Linked DNA regions of Schizosaccharomyces pombe. Changing the gene in region 1 together with any one later gene gives a genetic interaction. Each region holds a gene or a part of one and is shown in the gene's direction. Other genes may lie near its edges.

What was found.
Region 2: of oxs1 (region 1) and caf5, changing one suppresses a phenotype caused by changing the other (phenotypic suppression), as found in Schizosaccharomyces pombe (one study listed by BioGRID).
Region 3: of oxs1 (region 1) and SPOM_SPCC663.08C, changing one suppresses a phenotype caused by changing the other (phenotypic suppression), as found in Schizosaccharomyces pombe (one study listed by BioGRID).

Annotation. Positions count from the first base shown.
Region 1 is NC_003423.3:2,564,388-2,567,853, forward strand, and holds oxs1 (oxidative stress transcription coactivator/ribosome recycling protein Oxs1), read left to right. Parts: upstream 1-2,046; coding exon 2,047-2,580; intron 2,581-2,688; coding exon 2,689-2,778; 3' UTR 2,779-2,966; downstream 2,967-3,466. Other genes in the region: guanyl-nucleotide exchange factor Muk1, read right to left, coding at 1-361, 410-795; atp7 (F0-ATPase subunit D), read left to right, coding at 3,314-3,466.
Region 2 is NC_003423.3:3,164,869-3,168,627, forward strand, and holds caf5 (plasma membrane spermine family transmembrane transporter Caf5), read left to right. Parts: upstream 1-1,712; 5' UTR 1,713-1,811; coding exon 1,812-3,407; 3' UTR 3,408-3,617; downstream 3,618-3,759. Other genes in the region: iqw1 (WD repeat-containing protein), read left to right, coding at 1-774, 826-916.
Region 3 is NC_003421.2:1,647,168-1,650,926, reverse strand, and holds SPOM_SPCC663.08C (short chain dehydrogenase ), read left to right. Parts: upstream 1-2,108; 5' UTR 2,109-2,165; coding exon 2,166-2,927; 3' UTR 2,928-3,238; downstream 3,239-3,759. Other genes in the region: SPOM_SPCC663.09C (dehydrogenase), read left to right, coding at 638-1,399.

The DNA of each region.
Region 1 (3,466 bases):
ATCTGCATTTCGAAAGCGTAACACAAAATTCAGGTGCGATATTAAATGAAATCCGGGATAACAGAGAATGCAATATATGGTCAAATTTAATAAAGAATCAGCATTCAATTCTTCTTGAGGAAGTTGAGAGGCATTCAATATACTTGAATTAACGGTCATAAAAGTGTTTATTTTCGATCTAGGTGTGTGTTGCTCATCGAGAGCAAAAAATGCTTCAGAGACTTCATGTAACCGGTTTGTAAGTTTTTCATCATCAGGTATTGGAATGCAATTGATAAGTTCTTTCTTTTCTTCAGAAGCAATAAATTTTTTTAACAAGTCATCTTTGGCAGCATCCGTACTTGTAGATAAACAGAAAATCCTAACACAATATTAGTAAACAGTTATTGTAGGCGAAGTAATCACATACCGATCATACAAATATTCGCAAACTATATCTTCAATTTGGTCCATCCATTCATCTTTTTGGTTCAGCAAGTGTTGTCTCGCCTTTTTCTGAGCATCTATTTCCTCAGGAAACAAAAGAGGCACATTTTGATCTTTTGAAGAGGGTTGAGGGATAAGGGTTGAAGCAATAAACTCATCGGTATGCTTGTAAAAGTTTTGAAATGCTTTTGCTAGTTCTTCAGGCGAAAGCAATTGAGGGTGAACCGGACTAACTAGAGAAGAGATAAACTGTATCACACATGCTTGTACAGTAGTTGGAAGATTTGATGCAGAATTTGGGAGTTTGATGTCTTCTTCCTTAGGCTTATTTGTATATTTAACAGCTCTCCAAGAATTCAGAAAGCTCATCGAAAGGAACTTTTACGAAAGGTGATCAAAAAGTTTAATTTTCAAAAATAAAATTAAACGAAAAAAAATTCTATATATACATGTAACTAAGAATATGTTAGCATAGGGTCTAATTCAAATTTTCAAATTTATATCAGATAGGATAAACAGCAATCGAAGGAACCGAGTACGAAGTATTCGTTGAGAGTCAAAAATATAACAATATATCCCTAATAGAAAATATACATCGTTTTAAAGCTATAAATGCTAGCAATTCCTTCTTTACCTTTGTCGTATGACAAGTTTTCAAGTAATTGTCAAAATATAGAGACACGAATTAAAAAAATAAGAACGTTGATTAAGAACTTGATATAAAATGAAATAATAATCAGAGGTAATGCTTACTTGACTTTAACTTATAAACCCTTCAAAATAGAGGAACAGTGCTGGTAGAACCAAAATTGATATGCATTCATGTTTCGGCATAATAATAGCGTATACTCGTTAAGAAACCGTATACTGTAAATGTAAATAATAGGATGAGTAAATTTAAGTGCTAAAAAAAATAATTTAGAATTATAGATTCATTAATTCCTTTAACAATTAAGATGATCGGAATGTTAGTTTGTACGTTATTTGTATCGAAGATGAAGTTTAATACTTATATAGATTACAATAAACTAATCAATACTTGAAAGCAATTGTTCACTGTACGATATTGTTGAATAATTTGGCAAGAATAAGCATTTAATTTGATGATATATTTTACTTTTTCAAACTTCATGAAATACACATCGAAGTCCATAACAATTGTCATGATATAATATTGTAATTGAAGAGTATGATCAATTTACATCGGTTGACTTTGTTTCTCTTTTTAATGAGTTATCACTGTTAAGAATGCCATCATGTCATAAAAAGGATTTATGGTGTATTATGCAGTGTCTATACCATTCAATATACCCTTAGCCTGCATCAAGGCATTTAAGGAAATAAATAGTAGCAGATTTCCAATTAAGAACTTTTATTTTCTATTTTAGTGATAAAAATTCAGTTACATACCAACGTTTGACGCCGTTTGTTCAGTGTTATCAATACACCTTTGTAAATACACTGATAAAAATAGGGAGATATAACGAGACATTCACTTATAAAAATTATCAGATCAGATTATTAATCCATCCTTCGTCGCCTTTCTTATAACGAGGCGGCATATAGAAATCACCTGTTGTTCAAGTCATTCAAATCTCACATACCATTAATAGCCTTGATATGGGGAATCCAAAAAAGAGAGCAGAAAAGGCCGAAGCGGCAAAATCTAGAAAACAAGACGAGGAAAAGAAAAAAAAAGACGCTGAAGAAGACGAAAAATGGTCCAAGGGCGTCAAAACTAATAAAAAGGAGCAAGAAGCTGAAAAACGAAAAGCTGCGTTGGAGAGGAAAGCTGAACGTGAACGTTTAGAAAAAGAAGAAATGGAGAGTCTTCCATCTAAAGGAGGAAAGGGGTCAAAGAAGGCTGCAAAGAAGAATTCATCTTTAGACGCTTTCCTCAACGAAACCCCTCAGACAGCTTCATATAGTGCCCGCAATATTGATGATGCTTTGGATTTGTTAAGTTTAAACAATTCATCGTCCAAAGATAAAATTGATCGTCATCCTGAACGTCGGTTTAAAGCAGCTTTGACAGAATACAAACAATCTCGTTTGCCTGAACTACGCAAAGAACAACCGGGCCTCCGTTTAAACCAATATGAAGACATAATGTATAAAGAATTTCAGAAACATCCGGACAATCCTTTCAATAAGGTAAGAAGCGATAAGGGTACATGCATACTCTTTTTGATGATGACCATATCATGTATAAACCCTAAACAGGAAAACCATTGTAAATATCATTTTTACTAACAATTTCAGATGAATGTGAGCTATAACACTAGTCAAGATGAGGTTGAACAGCTTCGTAAAGCTCGTAAAGCAGAATTGGAAGCACGTTTACGCGAGTAACTATAGTTATGGCAATATGTTTAGAACTTTTCTTTTTCCTTTTTACTATGGTAATTCTTTTATATTATTTATAAATTATCAATAAACCAATTACTAAATAATTTTTCTCGACATTCAAAAATGAAATCTTAAATTAAACATGAGAAGTACAAAGTGATTTGGTGATACACCGGTAAATCAAAATTTACAGCTAACTTTGAATTTCTATTAGCACAAGAATGAGTGGAGCGTATACTAATTGTAGGGCACAAGTTCTATTCTAACCGCTTAATTTTTTTTTTTGTAGTAATTTTGTACTTGTTGCTTTCATTTACCCAATTATATGATATTTTTTGAACCATTAAGGAAGCCTACTGCTGAAAGCCAAACCACCTGGCAATATGGCTCTGGCAATGCTAAATCATCCGTTCCCCAACTACCCCCATCTCTTCAACACATAACCAAAAGCAGGAAATATTTATAAGACAGTTAAATTGTTTAACAATATAACTGTTATTTTATTGAATTTTGAATTTTTTCTTCTTTATTTACGCAAATGTCGAAAGTTGCTAGCGCTGCTGGAAAGGCGATTGATTGGGCTAGTGTAGCTAGCAAGCTGAAGCTTGATGCCGCAACTGCTTCTGCTATTGCTAATTTTCGCTCTCGTCATGCTCAGGCAGTTGCCAAATTGGGTACATTGCGAGAGCAG
Region 2 (3,759 bases), 600 kb from region 1:
TGATTTATCTTCTGTAAGGCGGTTTTTTTGGATACATAAAGTTTTACGCGGTTGTCTTCTTCTTATATCCTCCGATATCTACTGGGAGCAATTTCAGCCTTGGGACAGCAGTACTTCTGACGTTACTTCCAGCCAAAGACTTGATGATGAAAACGGGTTCTTGACATTGTTGGAACCGCCAGTGAACTATGAAAATGAAGTTGAAAGTAGTTCGGGAGAAAATATTGTCAGTATGTATACTGGGCATTCTGATCTCAATGATGACGATGATGATTACCAGGATGAGGAAAGTTACTCCTATGCTAGTGATGATGATGATGAAAGTGATGAGGATTCGGATGAAGGTCCGACTTTGTTGTCTTTAAGAATGAAGAAGCGGAAAGCAGTGGAACCAAATGTGCCGGTGAACACACATGTTAAAAGTTATTATGGTCACTGCAACGTAGAGTCTATTAAAAATGTTAATTTCTATGGTCAAAATGATGAATATGTCATGAGTGGTTCTGACGATGGCAGGTTTTTTATTTGGGATAAGTTAAATGCTTCCATTCTTGCAATTATCCATGGCGATAGTGAAGCTGTTAACGTTATAGAAGGGCATCCCCGTTGTCCCACGCTTGCTGTGTCCGGTATTGATTCCACCGTGAAGATATTCAATACTGAGAACACTCCACCATCAGGTTGTTCAAGGAACCATACTTCCAATAGTTACAAAATAATTGCTACCAATGAAATGAATAGGCAGCAGGGGTCGCGAGATTCCTACATAACGAGGTTTGTTGAATACTTCTAATTTGCTCATGTAAATACTAACCGTTCTTCTAGTCGTATGTTGTCACATCTTGCATATCGTGCACATTTGGATGATGGGTTTGGACACGAAGTGCTCGATACCGATGCTTGTAGTATTATGTAACTGAGGAAGTTTTTTTTGAAGCTCACATTTTCTCTATTAAAACTATTTATGATTAATGATTAGACATTTTCAAGTAAACTTAATGTTGTGAAATAACTATATGATTTTACTTTTTGGGATAAAGTTGGGAATTTAAGCGAAGTAGTTAAAAGCAAGACAATTTCGGCATATTCATTTGGACAAATATTAAGTGCGTATGACTGCAGATGTTTAATAGTCATTTTTTATATAAGCTTTTCTTTAAAAGTAAAATATTAAATTTTAATTTTCTTGAAACATCGTCTTCAAAGGAAAACGGCAAGCATAGCAATCCCTCTTATTTTCTGTCTTCCGTCGATCGTCTACCTACTTAATCATAGTTTGAAGTTAAAATTGTTTTTAACGACATCATTTTTTTAAGTAACTGTTGTATTCGCATTACTCTGAAAAGAATTAATTCATACTTAGTTTTGATTAGTCATATAGTTCTGTTTTTACTTTTTAATTTCGCTTTCTTTTGCTGACAAAAATTAAGGCAGAATTTTTTACGCGAGATGACGATCGACTGATGTACGTTAGAAATGTTTGTTGTAACTTCCAATCTTAATTTTTTTTTTGTTTACATAAGCAACAAGATGATTTTGCACTTTTAATACTGCTTACTGAAACGACTTAGAATACGATGGATAATTGAAAGAAGGAATCTCACATAATTGACTAATCAATCAATATATGCTTACTTTACACTTAGTAAACATTCACGTTGATTAGGTAAGGCACGAAGGGTATATTAGGAGAAGAATGTAGCCAGACAATTGTACCAGCAAGTGTGGGCAAATAATCTGTCAAGTTTTTAATAAAGTTAACCGAGACCAAAAAATAGAACTAACTTTGGTTTTTACATACGGTCATTTAAATGGGATTTTTAAGGGAAACCGTTTTCGGCGAATTGGTCGAATACGTTTCTCACAACTCCAATGACAACGACTTAGAGAAACTGAGAGTATGGAAAGACATTAGCAAAGTAGATTCCAATGACTCATGCAGCTCGGAATCCGGCGATCTGAAGATTCATGAAGTTAATTCAGAGGGACACATTATTGTGCGATGGGATGATGCCAACGATCCCGAAAATCCCCTAAATTGGCCTTTGTGGGCAAAGCTTGTGGTGACTTTTGATATTTGCTTCTTAACGTTTGCGGTTTATGTGGGATCAGCAATTTTTACTCCAGGTATATCAGAAATGCAAGAAACGATGCACGTAGGAACTGTTCCCGTAGTTTTGGGATTGACTCTTTTTGTACTTGGCTATGCCATCGGTCCCCTAATTTTGTCTCCACTCTCGGAGATTCCACAAGTTGGTCGCCAAAAGATTTATGTTCTTTCTCTCCTTGTATTTGTGTGTTTACAGATTCCCACCGCACTGGGATCTAGCTTGGGCGTCTTATTACCAATGAGGTTTTTGGCCGGTTTCTTCGGCTCGCCAGCTCTAGCGACTGGAGGTGCTACTTTGGCAGATATTTGGCAACCATGGCTTCTTCCCTACTTTATGTGTTTTTGGGCAATTGGAGCCATCGGTGGTCCAGTTTTGGGACCGTTGCTTGGTGGAGCGATGGTCGTTGCTGAATCTTGGAGATGGCAATTTTGGCTTTTGATGATGATTTCTGGCTTTGCATTGATTGTTATCTTCTTTTTTATGCCAGAGACTTCTGAATGGCATATATTATATAAGAGGGCAAAGAGGTTCCGTAAGATAACTGGAAACGAAAATTATAGAACAGAGGCCGAATTGGCATCTTCCCATTTAAGTGTTGCTCAGCTTGCAAAGGAAACCATAATTCGTCCGATAATACTAAGTATTTCGGAGCCGATAGTATTGTCTTTAAATATATATATTGGGCTAATCTATTCAATTTTATATCTGTGGTTCGAAGCTTTCCCAATCCTTTTTACTAGCGTTTACCATTTTACCATTATTGAAAATGGCTTGGTTTACTTAGGTATTCTCGTGGGTGCCTTGATTACTTTAGCCTGCTATTTCGTATTCCTGTATAAAGTGATGATCCCAGCATTCATGGCCAGTGGTGGTGATTTTGCTCCGGAAGGAGTTTTGGTCATTTCATTTCCAGCAACGTTCTTTATTCCCATTTGCCTTTTCTGGTTTGGCTGGTCGGGAAGAGAATCGGTCCATTGGATTGTACCAATCGTCAGTACGCTCTTTTACGCATCTGGGGCCTTTTTAATGTTTCAAAGTATGTTTCAGTATTTGGCTGCTTCATACCCAAAGTACGTTGCATCTGTGTTTGCTGGAAACGACCTATTTCGTTCGGCTATGGCTGCATCATTCCCATTGTTTGCCCGAGCTATGTTTAATAATACAGGCCCTTCCTATGCTCCAGTTGCCTGGGGAAGTACTATCCTTGGTATAGTTGCTTGCTTAATGATTCCTATTCCTTTCGTGCTACATAAATGGGGTCTGAAACTGAGAAGCCGTTCAAAATATGCTTCTTAATTCCACTGTTGTTGAGATCATTTAATTATTTCCGGATTTGTCCGCGCGTTATCAAGATGTATATGATGAAGGCTATACTCCCTTGTTCAAAGATAAGTGTAATGGACACTTCTCTTTCAATTTTTATAGAGTTTTATGAAATTTAATGGTGTTATTTTGTGTCGCTAATTGAGGTATTGATTGATATTATATTATCTATCAGTTTAGAACGTTTCTAGACTTGAACTTGTAATTGTCTATTTAAATAAAATTTGGTATACAAAATTCACGTTCAATCTTAAATTTATTTTTTTTATAAAACAGAAAAGGTACTACAAGGCCAATAAACGAATGAAGTTGTGGTTGTATTGTA
Region 3 (3,759 bases), on another chromosome or scaffold:
CGCAAATTTCCATCCATTTTGTATTGGTCATATAGTCGTAAAGAAGCCTAATCTTGAGATGCTGTAAAACTTCATGTCATATAATCTTACTAAGACACTCTATATACGATTCTCTCTTTCTCCTCAACAAAAATATTATCTTACAGAGGGTTTAAATTGGTAGAGCAAATTGACCTAAGAGGTGAACCAGTAACCTGAGAAAAAATTGCAGCTTCGATGTATGTATGAGATAGATTCTGTAGTTGTTTTATTATAATCTGACAAGTTCTTTCTACCGGAAGATTTCAAAAACGAGGAAAAGTAGTTCTTAAAATTTTTTCATCCTTTACTACGCTCTACAATCAAAATTTTCGATTTCATTAATTAACACGGCTTCTACTTTTTTTATTTTATGCAAGTCCCATATAAAAAGACTGTTAATATCAAGCAGCAAATACCGATAGAATTTTGTAGAATGAAATTTGACGCTTTTGGTTGAGAAAATCAAACGTGTGCAAAATGTCACAGCTCTTCACACGTAAACGAAATAGCGAACAAACACTCCTTATCAATAAAAGTACAGCAAAACACCAAGGAAGTGTCAGTTACTATTAACCAAAAACTAATTGAGAAACGACTTTGAGATTGTACTATAAAGATGGCTACTACCAACAAAGTTTACTTTATTGCAGGAGGAAATCGTGGTATTGGACTCTCTCTTGTCAAAGAGTTAAGCAGTAGAGAAGGAACGACTGTGTTTGCGAGTGCTCGCAAACCCGAAGCTGCTACTGAATTACAAGAATGGAGCAAATCTCATCCTAATGTTAAAACTGTTGAATTAGATGTCACATCTCAGCAGAGTGCCAATGAAGCTGCTCAAAGCGTTGCGAAGGCGGTCGATGGAATTGATGTTCTTTGGTTGAACTCTGGTATTTGTCAATCTTACTATACAGTTATGGAAGCACCTGAAGAAGTTTGGAATGCTCATTATCAAACCAATGTTTTAGGACCTATCCATGTGTTCAAAGCTTTTTATCCGTTGTTGACAAAGAAAAAAACCAGACAGGTTATCTTTACTTCCAGTGAATGCGGCTCAATGGGCGACTTTCGTGCTACTGGATTCTCTGCCTACGGTCAGTCCAAGGCAGCAATCAATTTCACTATGAAGGAACTTAGTGTCGAACTAGCTGATGAACACTTCACATTCATTTCCATTCATCCTGGAGTAGTAAAGACTGATATGAATGCTGATGCTATCAAAAAATTTACTGAAACATCTCCCGAGATGCTGACTTACTTAAAAAAGGTTACTATCATACCCGAAGAAAGCGTTTCATCCATGCTTAAGGTGGTTGACAATTTGAAACCCGAAAACAACGGGTCTTTTTATAGATATGACGGGACCATTATTCCCTTTTAGACATATCTTTTGTTAGTCATGATGGTTTTGATGCCCCTTTTTAAAGATGTTTTTGCAGTCTAGATTACAGCACGATGTTGTGTTCAAACAATCGTTCTTTTTTGTTGAATTTACATGCCCTTACAAATATTTACAAGCCTTCAGAACTTTAAAAAAGCTTAACATAACTATTTAGTGAGCATGGACATCTAAAAGATGTGTTTCATGTAACAAATTTGAGTATTCATTCGTATAAGGCTTATCGTCCAAAAAATGACTCCCGAGTGATCGATCATCTTACGGCTATCTTGTTTTTTTATAAATTTATTTTTTGGTGGAGCAATTTAAAGAGTCGTTTGTTTGTACCCAATTTAAAGCTTTTCTATACGACTGGCAACTCAGCATTCTCATGTGAGTAACTTCAAATACATATCATCTATATGATGCTTTGTCAAAGAAACCAGAAACAGAAGAATAATTTAACTGAAATTGATTAATTTATTAAAGCGGAATTAAGGGAATATGTTTAAAAAACCGTCTAAATAGGTTGTAAATGTATTTATATTGTCTTCTAATACAAAGTACAATAAGTTCTATACGATGAATTTTTATGAACTTGTCGCTGAGTATATTCAATTATGTAAGCATCAAAATTCACGGTTCAAATCACGTAAGCATAATGATTTGAAGAATTGGTATATAAGCATGAAGTTGATGATAAATTGCCGACACCAAATTATCCACTTTTCAAACGGATTCAAGGATCATTCAAACATTGTGTTAGAATATGTCTACTACCAACAAAATTTACTTTATTGCAGGAGGAAATCGAGGCATTGGACTCTCTCTTGTTAAGGAATTGAGCAACAGAAAAGGAACAGTTGTATTTGCAAGTGCCCGCAAGCCTGGAGCTGCTACTAAATTACAAGAATGGAGCAAGTCTCATTCCAATGTGCACATTATTAAGTTAGATGTCTCCTCTCTAGAGAGTGCCAATGAAGCCGCTCAAGAAGTTACAAAAGTAGTTGATGCAGTGGATGTTCTCTGGGTAAATTCAGCCGTTTTCCATTCTTTTGGTCCTGTCGTAAATACTCCTGATGATGTCTGGAACTCTCACTATAAAACCAATGTTTTAGGACCAATTCATGTCTACCAAGCCTTTTATCCTCTTATAAAAAAAGGAAGATCTAAAATCATTGTTTTTACTTCATCATTAGCTGGATCCATGGGAGCTTTCTTCCCTTCAAGTCAATCTGCTTATGGCCAATCTAAGGCTGCCTTAAATTATACGATGAAGGAAATTAGTTTTGAGCTACAAGATGAAGGATTCATAGTGATTTCAATTCACCCCGGAGCTGTCCGAACCGATTCAGCTCAAGAAATTGTAAATCAGCATGCTGAAAAGAAACCGGAAATTTTGGATCTCTTTGCAAAGCAGGCCTTAACACCCGAGAAAAGCGCTTCAGATATGTTGAAAGTTGTAGACAATTTGAAGCCCGAAAATAATGGACTTTTTTACAACTATGATGGTACCATCATTCCTTTTTAGACATATTCTTTTTTGTACTTATGCAACGATGCCAGAATAAAGGATTTGGAAAAAAATGATCAACTTCTACAATTCTATATACACGAACAAATGACCATAGATCAAAAGAAAAAATTGTTGTACCCTTCAATCAGTCATGTACTATTACAGTTTTGGAAAGCTAGTAAAACCACTCGTTTTGTCTTTTGAGACTAGTTGTTTACGAGTAGCCTGCATTTTAATAATATATAAAGAAAAACTTTGTTCAACCTCAAACTCGAAGCTACCTTTTATAAATCGTAGATAATTACTCCTACCACCACCAAAGCTGGAAAACGAATTCTTCCATTTTTTAACCACAGTGGCAATGTTATCAGCCAAAATTACAGCGACGTCTGGTAAATAATTGAATAGCTATGAAGGCATGAACTGCAATGCTTTAATGTAGCTTACGGTTAACGACAATGTTTCCATACATTCACTACTTTTTGACGACCTTTTAAGGCAATAAATATGCGACTGAAGTGACGTAACAACATCAAATGTGTTAATAGCTGAACAGCCTTTAAGGGTTCAGTCTTTTCGTGAATTTTGGAATTTTCTGAGTACTTCAAAAAATAGAATATGTCTTCGGCTGACAAGATTTTCTTTATCGCAGGCGGGAATCGTGGTATTGGACTCTCTCTTGTTAAAGAGTTAAGCAATAGAGAAGGAACGACTGTGTTTGCGAGTGCTCGCAAACCCGAAGCTGCTACTGAATTACAAGAGTTGAGCAAGTCTCATTCCAATGTGCATATTATTAAGTTGGATGTCACTTCTCTAGAGAGTGAAAAGGATGCCGCCAAGCAGGTTG